Macaca fascicularis: one gene and its partners. The protein of the gene in region 3 purifies or fractionates together with the protein of the main gene of each other region. This does not show direct contact. Links are inferred from orthologs where the notes say so. Each region holds a gene or a part of one and is shown on either strand. Other genes may lie near its edges.

Evidence for each region.
Region 1: the proteins of EXOSC10 (region 3) and EXOSC2 fractionate together in Homo sapiens (co-fractionation; 9 studies listed by BioGRID and IntAct, with this or other methods). This does not show direct contact. The link is inferred for Macaca fascicularis from reciprocal best matches to the Homo sapiens genes EXOSC10 and EXOSC2.
Region 2: the proteins of EXOSC10 (region 3) and EXOSC1 purify together in Homo sapiens (co-immunoprecipitation; 8 studies listed by BioGRID and IntAct, counting the BioPlex papers as one, with this or other methods). This does not show direct contact. The link is inferred for Macaca fascicularis from reciprocal best matches to the Homo sapiens genes EXOSC10 and EXOSC1.

Annotation. Positions count from the first base shown.
Region 1 is NC_088389.1:13,178,230-13,181,877, forward strand, and holds part of EXOSC2 (exosome complex component RRP4), read right to left. Parts: intron 2,569-3,648; coding exon 2,500-2,568; intron 1,291-2,499; coding exon 1,114-1,290; intron 377-1,113; coding exon 248-376; intron 1-247. UniProt on the Homo sapiens protein: Non-catalytic component of the RNA exosome complex which has 3'->5' exoribonuclease activity and participates in a multitude of cellular RNA processing and degradation events.
Region 2 is NC_088383.1:106,397,421-106,401,109, forward strand, and holds the start of EXOSC1 (exosome complex component CSL4), read right to left. Parts: upstream 2,814-3,689; 5' UTR 2,792-2,813; coding exon 2,761-2,791; intron 2,654-2,760; coding exon 2,538-2,653; intron 123-2,537; coding exon 48-122; intron 1-47. UniProt on the Homo sapiens protein: Non-catalytic component of the RNA exosome complex which has 3'->5' exoribonuclease activity and participates in a multitude of cellular RNA processing and degradation events.
Region 3 is NC_088375.1:223,724,432-223,728,079, reverse strand, and holds part of EXOSC10 (exosome complex component 10), read right to left. Parts: intron 909-3,648; coding exon 813-908; intron 586-812; coding exon 514-585; intron 1-513. UniProt on the Homo sapiens protein: Catalytic component of the RNA exosome complex which has 3'->5' exoribonuclease activity and participates in a multitude of cellular RNA processing and degradation events.

The DNA of each region.
Region 1 (3,648 bases), on a different chromosome or scaffold from region 3:
CGAGGTTGCTCTCATAAACTAGTCCCACCTGACACCTCCAGCCCTAAAATCCTTAGACTGACACTACGCATTGAGAATCCTGCAAGTATCTTAGGGAAAGATCTACCAGACACTCATTAGGGCTGTTTCAGGCCAGTTCATACTGATGGATGTCTGGAAAGTATTGGGAGACACGCACATTGTCTCTGCGCAAACAACAGAGCAGCTCACAGATCAATGAAGAAGTGAGAGGTCCTGAGGAGAGTACCTGATGTGGAAGGGATGCTTCATAGCAGTAGAGGATGCTGGTATCATACAGCATCATCCTCTGAGTTACCAGCGAGATGACACAGTTCCGAAGCCGGGATATCACCTCTCGATCAGCAAGAGAGACAGGCTATAAGGAGACACAGAGGAGAAGGGAAGGGAAATATAAACAGGACCAAAATACGTGACCAGCCACAGAAAATCACAAATAAATTACTTATGAATCAGAAAATATCACCCTGGAACTCCAAACCAACCAAACAGCTAACTCCAAGGGAGATTAAAAGGAATGGGGCAGGGCGCAGTGTCTCATGCCTGTAATCCCAGCACTTCGGGAGGCCGAGGCGGGTGGATCACAAGGTCAGAAATTCGAGACCAGCCTGACCAACATGGTAAAACCCCATCTTTACTAAAAATACAAAAATTAGCAGAGCATGGTGGGGCACGCCTGTAATCCCAGCTACTCGGGAGGCTGAGGCAGGAGAATCTCTTATACTCGGGAGGCGGAGCTTGCAGTGAGCCGAGATGGCGCCACTGCACTCCAGCCTGGGCTACAGAGTGAGACTCTGTCTCAAAACAAAACAAACAAACAAACAAACAGAAAAAAGAATGGCTTCTTCAGTGGCTCTTCGGCGTTACCCTGCAACTTTGCCATCGCCACCAACAAACATCGAACCATTCACTGAGTTCATCTCCTTAGAAGAGAGAAGATAATATGGGGTTCATGAATACACCTTGATGGAAAGTCAAAGTGACTCAGCCTACAGCAGTAATAGAGCTAAAAACCACCAATTTCACTGGCCACAAAAACACAGCAAAGACTGAGTCCCATCCTTCCCACCGACAGTGGCCACAGTGTTTGCTCACCTCCAGGTTTGCAATGAAGCCCCCTGCTTCCTCTTCTTTGTGCTCAGGTGTTGGGTAAATCCAGATGAAGCCGTTGTTACCGAGAATCACTGAGGCACCACATGGCAAATCATGGAAGTGGGTCTTCTGCCGTTTCACCAGGGAGGGGGAAACCTGGACCAAAACCCCCTGACCTAGCTAAAGAAATACATCACAAAGCTAGGTCACTACAGGATCATCAGTGGGATGAATGAAAAGGAGACTACAGAATACACATCCTAAGTATATTCAAATTGGTGTCCTTCCTGTTTACAATTGCTGTCGCCTATACGCACACCCATAGTACACATTTTTGCAGAGAACACTTGGGGACTCAGAGGCTATTCATACATCCCAGCAGAAGGTGACTTTCAATGCTCTTCTCTGTCATTTCCCTTTACAGTCTCCCTTGCACTCTAAGCCAGAACTCAGGTGCCAGACATTAGAGAAGTTGAAGCCAATGAGGGAGCTGAAGCCTCCTGCTGGTCCAGTAGCACTGTGTTGTTCCAGGACCCTAGCTCATACCTGAACCCCAAACACTCATCTTGCCTGTGAGATGTGTGCCTCTGGGTAGGTAAGGAGCTGGGTGGAGCTGGGTGCAAATCCATGTCTGGTCCTGGCAGGCCAGCTCAAGTGCATGTCCTGCCAAGGGCGAGTCCACAGGACCCAGGGTTGCGAAAGTCAGCATACTGCAGCAGTCCTCTGCCTACTCCATGTACTTGAACGTGGCTGGCTGCAGCCACTCCATTAAGGGAAGAGGTTTTGTTCCACTCAGAAAATAAAAGTGTTCACCCAGATAAAGCTGAGAGACTAGTAAATCCTAATTTGTTTTAGGAAGTATGCTCTCCTTAAAATAATAAATAGCTTCAATAATGCAACCTCGTACAAGAAAAGCAGTGAAATTCCATTTAGAGGCTCAGATGACAGAGCAAGCTTTGCCAGCAATAACATCCACTGGACTGACTGGACGCTTGTCCAAGGGTTGTTTCTCCAGGCCCAGCCTCCCTTTGTTCCCAGGACCGCCTCAGCCCCGGCCCCAGTGCTGAGCTGCAGCGCCCCCTGGAGGGAGAGAGACAGCTGCACCTCCCAGCCCACAGTTGGACGGGCTCCTCTGTCCAAAGAGTCAGTCTCCCTGGAGAAAAAGGATAAAACTTGTTCTTTACAAAGCTACTGACCCATGACCCTGTGAACCCTGACCTGTGAACCCTCATGTTATGTTTAAGGAACACGATCAGTTTGTGGGATGCCAACCTCTATTAATGCTTAGCTACTGGGGTTCTTTAGGCCAGAATTCCAGAGAGCTATAGGGATTAAGAAATAGCCTTGCAATCTCAGTCAGCAAACAGGAACATCAAGAGCCCAACTTACTTTTCCATATTTCAGGCTCCTCGTGTGCAGAGAGACAGCTCCATCAGAGAACACTGCCTGGACCTCAGCCTGGCCAGGGTGATGAAGGAACAAACAGTAGCCTCGGCCACACACTGTCCTGTCCTCTGCAGCCTCTGCCCCTTGACCCCACACCTCCATCTTTTCCTCCCCTCTCCAATGGTCCAGGCTCAACAATCTTAGACAGACCCAGAGGACATCACTGGGACCTCACTTCTCCCCTTGGTTGTCATGAATATCTTTTTTAAAAAAATAGAGACAGAAGGCCAGGCGCGGTGGCTCATGCCTGTAATCCCAGCACTTTGGGAGGCTGAGGCGGGTGGATCACCTGAGGTCGGGAGTTCTAGACCAGCCTGACCAACATGGAGAAACCCCGTCTCTACTAAAAATACAAAATTAGCTGGGCGTAGTGGCAGGTGCCTGTAATCCCAGCTACTCAGGAGGCCGAGGCAGGAGAATCGCTCGAACCCAGGAGGCAGAGGTTGTGGTGAGCCAAGATCGCACCATTGCACTCCAGCCTGGGCAACAAGAGCGAAACTCCGTCTCAAAAAAATAAATTAAATTAAATTAAATTAAAGGCCAGGCATGGTGGCTCATGCCTATAATCCCAGCACTTTGGGAGGTCAAGGTGGGCAGATCACCTGAGGTCAGGAGTTCAAGACCAGCCTGGCCAATATGGTGAAACCCCGTCCCTACTAAAAATACAAAAATTACCAGGGCATGGCACACACCTGTAATCCCAGCTACTCGGGAGGCTAAAGCAGAATTGCTTGAATCCGGGAGGCGGAAGTTGCAGTGAGCTGAGATCACGCCACTGCACTCCAGTCTGGACAACAGAGCAAGACTCTGTCTTAAAAAAAAAAAAAAAATTTTAAATAACATATAATAGAGACAGAGTCGTGCACTGTCACCCAGGCTGGAATGCAGTGGTGTGATCAGAGCTCACTGTAGCCTTGAGCTCCTGGGCTCAAGCAACCCTCCGGCCCCAGCCTCCTGAGTAGCTAGGCATGTGCCGCCATGCCCGGCTAATTTTTTATTTTTATTTTTTTGTAGAGAGGGGGTCTTGCTATGTTGCCCAGGCTGGTCTTGAACTCTTAGGCTCAAGCAATCCTCCCTCCTTGGCCTTCCAAA
Region 2 (3,689 bases), on a different chromosome or scaffold from region 3:
TCAGCACTGAATGGGCATTCTAAGCATGGAAGTTAGGACAAACTTACCTTACAGGTTACAATAGCTCCGACATCTGGCAGTAACTGGGACTCTGTTTCTCTTACTACAGACACCACAGGAAGCTACGGAGGGAAAAAGAAAAAACTGAAATGTCCTGGCTAACTCTTGGGTCAAAGCATTTGTGTCTTGAGAGTAATATAGGAATGTCTTGGTACACAGGTGAGAGCTGGAGTATGCATTCATTTATAGGCCAGAGCAGAAGGCCTTAGAAATTTTAGGAAATAGGAGGACCAGGGGGCTACAGAATGCTGCTAGAAGATGTAAACCTCTAAACTTCTTTTTTTGTTGTTGTCGTTGGAGATGGAGTCTTGCTCTGTTGCCCAGGCTGGAGTGCAGTGGCATATTCTCGGCTCACTGCAAGCTCCACCTCCCGGGTTCATGCCATTCTCCAGCCTCAGCCTCCCAAGTAGCTGAGACTACAGGCACCTGCCACCACGCCCGGCTAATTTTTTTTGTAGTAAATCCCTAAACTTCCAATAAGTTTTCTGGTGATTCTCTCAGAATTTCTTGGTATACAACTATATTGCCTATAATCATTGACAATTTTACTTTTTTTGGTTTTTTTTTTGAGATGGAGTTTCACTCTTGTTGCCCAGAGTGGAGTGCAATGGCGCCATCTCGGTTCACTGCAACCTCCACCTCCTGGGTTCAAGTGATTCTCCTGCCTCAGCCTCCCGAGTAGTTGGGATTACAGACGCCTGCCACCATGCTCGGGTAATTTTTTGTATTTTTAGTAGAGATGGGGTTTCACCATGTTGGTCAGACTGGTCTCGAACACCTGACCTCAGGTGATCAACCCACCTTGGCTTCCCAAAGTGCTGGGATTACAGGCGTGAGCCACTACATCTGGCTGACAATTTTATTCTTTCCTCCAAAGTTATACTGCTTCTTTCTGTTTCTTATTTTACTGCACAGGCTGAAATTTCCACAGAAATGTTACAAATAGTAGCTACACTTGTTTTAAGTGAATACTTGCAGAGTTTTCTCTTTGAGCATGGTATTGGCTGTTAGTATGAGACAGATATTTTGAGCCTCATCTTTTAACAATCTCTCCGTTGCTTACAATGCTTCAGCTCTCCTGGCCTTCTTTCAGTTTCCCCAACTTACTAAATTCTTCCCACTTTCAGATCTCTCTTCAACCTATTCTTTTTGCCAGAATTGCACTCTCTCCACCCACCTGACTCTAACCTACTCTTTAGATGATTCAGCTTCAATGTCACTTCTGCTGACTAGGATGGATTTGCCTGTTACATGTTCTTAAGGTGCCCTGTAATATTCTTTCAAAGCAGCCACCACATGTGTAACCATATGCTTATTTGAGCATTTATTTGTTTACAATTTGTGTCTGTGTCCTTTGATAGCAGAAACCAAGTCAGCGCTGTGCCTGACACATGAAAATACTCAAGTGGTATCTATCAAATGAACAAACTCAGGACTGTTAAGGACATTCCCAACAATGACTGAATAGAAAGCCCCTTGAGTCAGACGGCTTAAGTTACTTACTCAAAGCAGAATCGAGGTCAAGTTAGCCAGAACCTAACGGTTCTAATTCTGAATCCTCTTTCTACTGTGCTCCTTCAAATATTGCTTATATGATCCTGAGCTAATCCTGGATCAATCTCTAAAACTAGAAAGGTAGGTATTACGCATTCAACAAACATTTATTGAGGAGCTGCTTTGTGCTAGATACTGATGGTATGGTGGTAGCACCTGCACTTCGTGGAACTTAGATTTAAGCAAGGGAGAAGTCTAGTGGGAAACATACCTGAGTGTCTAATCATATGCTGACATAAGTGCTTGGAAGAAAAGGGACAGAGTTTTTTGTAAGTCTTTAACAAAACAAACAAAAACAAAACATCCCACAAAACTCCTTTCCTCAATTAGTGGGTCCAGAAGGGCTTCTCTGAGGTGATAATACAGAAACTAACGGAGGTAGGAATTAAACAGGCCTAAGAAGACAGAAGCGTTCCAGATAGATGGCATGTTACAAAGGCTCTGTAGCAGGAGAAAGCTTGGCACATTACCGACACTGAAAGAAGCTAGTGTGTTACAAATTTTTTTAAAAGGGCAAGCCAAAACTGTGATTATAACTTTTACAAATAGAAAAGACTGTATGATTAGATTGCGTCAGTGAGGTGGAGATAGTGGCACTAGATAAAGCCGGAGAGGTAAGCAACATTCATACAGTATACAACGCACTGCTGGGCTGAGCTGGGCTGGGTTACTGAGTTCGCATCTGCTTTTGTCCCAACCTCCCTCCCCGAGGGTCAGCAGCACAACCAAGCGAGATCAACACAACTAGTGTGTGGTGGCTAAGTGCACAACAGCGGCGATACGGCTAGAAGAAACTAAGAGACCAACATTGTACCACTAAGGCTCTAAAGACGCGTCCGCAGTGCCCATGCCTAAGGACTGGAACTCAAGGGCAGCCTAAGGGAAAAACAGAGAGAGAGGAGACGGCATGCCGCTTCCTTTACCGCGCCGTTCTCGCTGCTCTTCATCAGGCAGCCGGCAAGCGACGAAAAGATGTAGCCGTGGCGGGTGTAGGTGCCGCTGCCCGGGCTGCCCTCCTCCAAGTTACACAGACGTTCGCCTGCAGAAAAAATGCTGCATCGGTCATGGGCCCCCAGAAACTGCAGGCCGTCCAGGCTTCTTGCTTCGGCCCCTATCCAGGACTCTGTACGGGAAGCGCTCACTTACCGGGAATACAGTATCTCACAGGTGGTGCCATGATTGCCGCTGTCCCAAAACCCGGATGAAAACGAAATCGATTTCTCATTGGCCAAACCCAGGCACAGTTCCGCAGTAAGATACGCGTCAATTGGTGTTCTTTATCCTTGCGTGTAAACTCCATTTCCCAGGTTACCCCGGGACAAATCCGGGGGCGGAACTTCAGCGCTCCATGCTTGCGCCTGCGCGTGTGGTTGAGGATGGGCTGGCGGCAGGTCCGGGTCCGCTGGGTGGCACTGCAGGCGGCGGGCCATGGTGGTTTGGATTGAGCCGGGCCCGGCCGGGGCGCCGAGTCGGAGGCGGTGGCAGTGAGCGGCGGCAGAGGCTGCGGGGCTCGGTTTGGCTGACTGGGGAGTCGGCAGGCGGCAGGTAAGGGCGAAGCCTCGGCCCTTGCTCCCCATCCTAGTCCCTTTTTCTGGGTCGGGCAATGCCCTGGGGCCTTGTCTTGAGTCCGGGTTCCTGCTCTCTCCTCGCCCTGCCCTGCGGGGCTGCGCCCTCCTCAGCCGGAGCGCACCTTGCGAGCAACCGTTACGTTCAGAGCAGGAAGGAAGGAGGTCAAGCGACCCAACTCGTCTGTTTCACAGATGTGGAACCTCAGATTCAGAGACCGGGTTTGACTTGTCCAAAATCTTCAAGATAGAGCCCAAACTGGAACCCGCGATTTTTGACTTCCAGTCCATCGCAGTTTCACCTCGCGGCTGTCATTGAGAAATAAAACCTTTTCCCGGTTTTTGTTTTGTTTTGTTTTTGAAAAGGAGTCTCGCTCTTTGGCCAGGCTGGAGTGCAGTGGCGCGATCTCTGCGCACTGCAACCTCCGCCTCCTGGCATCAAGCGATTCTCCTGCCTCAGCCTCCCGCGCAGCTGGGACTACAGGCGCGCGCCATCACGCCCAGCTAATT
Region 3 (3,648 bases):
TGCTTTTAAGAATCTCACTGAAGTTCTGGACCCTTTCCCTAGAAACAACGCTAGAAAATAAAGGGCTTTTGCCTTCATTGTCAGGGGATTCACAGATGAGATGGACTTGTCTACAACAGAAACCTGGTCTGAATAATTAGGAAATCCCCTTTTCTTAGAAAGTCTCTTTTAGGGCCAGGCGCAGTGGCTCACGCCTGTAGTCCCAGCACTTTGGGAGGCCGAGGCGGGTGGATCACCTGAGGTCAGGAGTTCGAGACCAGCCTGGTCAACATGGTGACACCCCATCTCTACAAAAATTAGCCGGGCATGATGGCAGGTGCCTGTAATCCCAGCTACTCGGGAGGCTGAGGCAGAAGAATTGCTTGAACCTGTGAGGTGGAGGCTGCAGTGAGCCGAGATCGTGCCACTGCACTCCAGCCTGGGTGACAAAATGAAACTCCGTCTCAAAAAACAAAAAAAAAAACAAATAACAACAAAAAAGTCTCTTTTAGAACAGGTGACAAGTCCACTTACTTCATAGATTTTTGTTGATGGATCGAACTTCGCTGCCTGAGAGACGGCACGGTGTCCTAGTGAGGGCAGAAACTGGAGGAAGGAAACGGCTGTGTGAAACGTTGCTGGGAACGGAATCTAGGCCCACAGCGCAGAGGTGCTCAGATGGGGGGCTGCTGGTGCCATGTCAGCGTCTTTGCCTGGACACCAGGGCAGCTGACACACTGGCTTCAGAGGCTTCCTTCCCAGGTGAAAGCATGTACAGCTGTAGGCATCTCTATATATCCTGTCAGCCCTGAGTACACAAAACTACGACTCACCATTCTAAATGGATTTTCAAAGGACTCCATGATGTTCTGGGCTTTTTTCTGTGCAATTGTCAATGGACCCTTTTTATTGTCTTCAGCACTAGGTTCCTGCAGGGACAGACAAAAAAATGATCACTAATAACCATGATCATCTGTGACATCAAGACGCAAGCAAGACAGCAATAGTGAATAGTGATTTTTTTTTGTTTTTGGAGACAGAGTCTCGCTCTGTTGCCCAGGCTAGAGTGCAGTGGTGTGATCTCTGCTCACTGCAACCTCCATCTCCTGCATTCAGGTGATTCTCCTGCCTCAGCCTCCTGAGTAGGTGGGATTATAAGCACGTGCCACCATGCCCGGTTAATTTTTGTATTTTTAGCAGAGACCAAGTTTCACCATATTTGGCCAGGCTGGTCTTGAACTCCTGACCTGAAGTGATCCACCCGTCTTGGCCTCCCAAAGTGTTGGGATTACAGGCATGAACCACCGCATGCACCCAGCCAGTAACAGTGATATTAATACCAATGGCTAAGGCTAATTTTTCATGCACTGTCCTATGTATAAGGCGTTGTGTCTGCAACAGCACCCAGTAGCATTTCAATATCAATGTGCTGGATCAGTGAATTCTCACCATGTCCTCATAGCCTATGTGGTGGTATTACTCTCACCACCTTACAGAGGAGGAAACTGAGGCCTACAGAGGTTGTGACAGTCTTTCAGAGGCTTGCAGTGAATATGAGCAGACCAAGGATTTAAACCCAGCATGGTCTGGCTCTAGAATATGAGGTCTTAATTGATGCCTGAAATTTATTTTATGTATGTATGTATGTATTTTTTTGAGATAGAGTCTTGCTCTGTTGCCCAGGTTGGAGTGCAGTGGTGTGATCTCTGCTCACTGCAACCTCTGCCTCCCCGGTTCAAGCGATTCTCCTGACTCAGCCTCCCGAGTAGCTGGGATTACAAGCATGCACCACAACCCCCGGCTAATTTTTGTGTTTTTAGTAGAGACAGGGTTTCACCATGTTGGCCAGGCTGGTCTCAAACTCCTGACCTCAGGTGATCTGCCCACCTTGCCCTCCAAAAGTGCTGGGAGCCACCGCACCATGCCTGAAATTTAATATTACATACCTTTACAGGGAATCATTGAAATTATGCAACAAAATGCTGCTTCCAACTGGGTTCATAAATATGTGCTATCCTTTTGCTTCATTTGTAATTATGCCCCTCTGCAACACAGATTGTGGGGAGACCACAGCCTCCTTTACCCCAAACAGCACTTCCATATCAAAGCAGCCCAGAGTTCATGCTAACATGTTTAGCTAATAAATTACCTTCATGACTCAAATTAGCTCTGAGGTCAACTAAAGCACCTCATATTTTCTCATTAACTGCTAAAGCAAGGCCCAATCTAGATTTATGAGATTAAGTTAAAAACAAAAGTCAAGCCCGGGCCACATGGTGAAACCCCATCTCCACAAAACATACAAAAATTGGCTGGGCATGGTGGCAAATGCCTGTAGTCCCAGCTACTCGGGAGAAGGCTGGGGCAGAAGGATTGCTTGAGCCCAGGAGGCAGAGGTTGCAGTGAGCCAAGATGGTGCCACTGTACTCCCACCTGGGTGACAGAGTGAGATCCTGTCTCAAAAAACAAAAAAAAAACAAAAAAAAAGCCGGGTGTGGTGGCTCATGTCTGTAATCCCAGCACTTTAGGAAGCTTAGGCAGGTAGATCACCTGAGGTCAGGCATTCGAGACCAGCCTGACCAACATAGCGAAACCCCATCTCTATTAAAAATGTAAAATATTAGCTGAGTGCGGTGGCGGGTACCTGCAATCCCAGCTACTAGGGAGGCTGAGGCAGGAGAACGCGTGAGCCAAGATGGTGCCACTGCACTCCAGCCTGGGCGACAAGAGCGAAACTCCATCTCAAAAAAACAAACAAAGGCCGGACACGGTGGCTCAAGCCTGTAATCCCAGCACTTTGGGAGGCCGAGGTGGGCAGATCACAAAGGTCAGGAGATCGAGACCACAATGAAACCCTGTCTCTACTAAAAATACAAAAAATTAGCCGGGCACGGTGGCGGGCGCCTGTAGTCCCAGCTACTCAGAAGGCTGAGGCAGGAGAATGGCGTGAACCTGGGAGGCGGAGCTTGCAGTGAGCCGAGATCGCGCCACTGCACTCCAGCCTGGGCGACAGAGCGAGACTCTGCCTTAAAAAAAAAAAAAAAAAAAAAAAAAAAAAAAAAACAGACAAAACAAACAAACAAAAAAAGTGAAACAGCTGGGTGCAGTGACTCATGCCTGTAATCCCAGCTACTTGGGAGGCTGAGGCAGGAGGAACATTTGAGCCTCAGAGGGAAAGGCTGCAGTGAGCCATGATTGTGCCACTGCATTCCAGCCTGGGTGACAGAACAACATTGTATCAAAAAAAAAAAAAAAAAAAAGGGTTTCAAAAGCGTTCCTCTTCTTCACTGAAAGCACACATATGTGATGCTGGAGTCAGGCAGGAAGCTACGGGCAGTGCACATTCTACAGTTCGTCGGACAGCACACCTACGCCACCCAAGATGGGCATCCAGGTGAACCGTTTTTCTGCAGCCATCGCTGCAGCTTGTCAACAAAGTCCTGCTTGTATGTTCTCTTAGCGCAAGCCCTCCTCCTACTAGGTGCTGTTCGACAACAGGACGTCAGCCTTTCCCTGAAGATTTCTTCACACACAGAGCTCAGAGAATCCTCCATCCACGACCCCAGACCACCTCCTCCAGAGTGGTCAGTGTCGCCTTGCTCATCGGTCTCTGTGCCTCTCCCAGCACTGCTGGGTTTTGCTCTCAGCGTTAGTCTTCGAGTGTAAGCA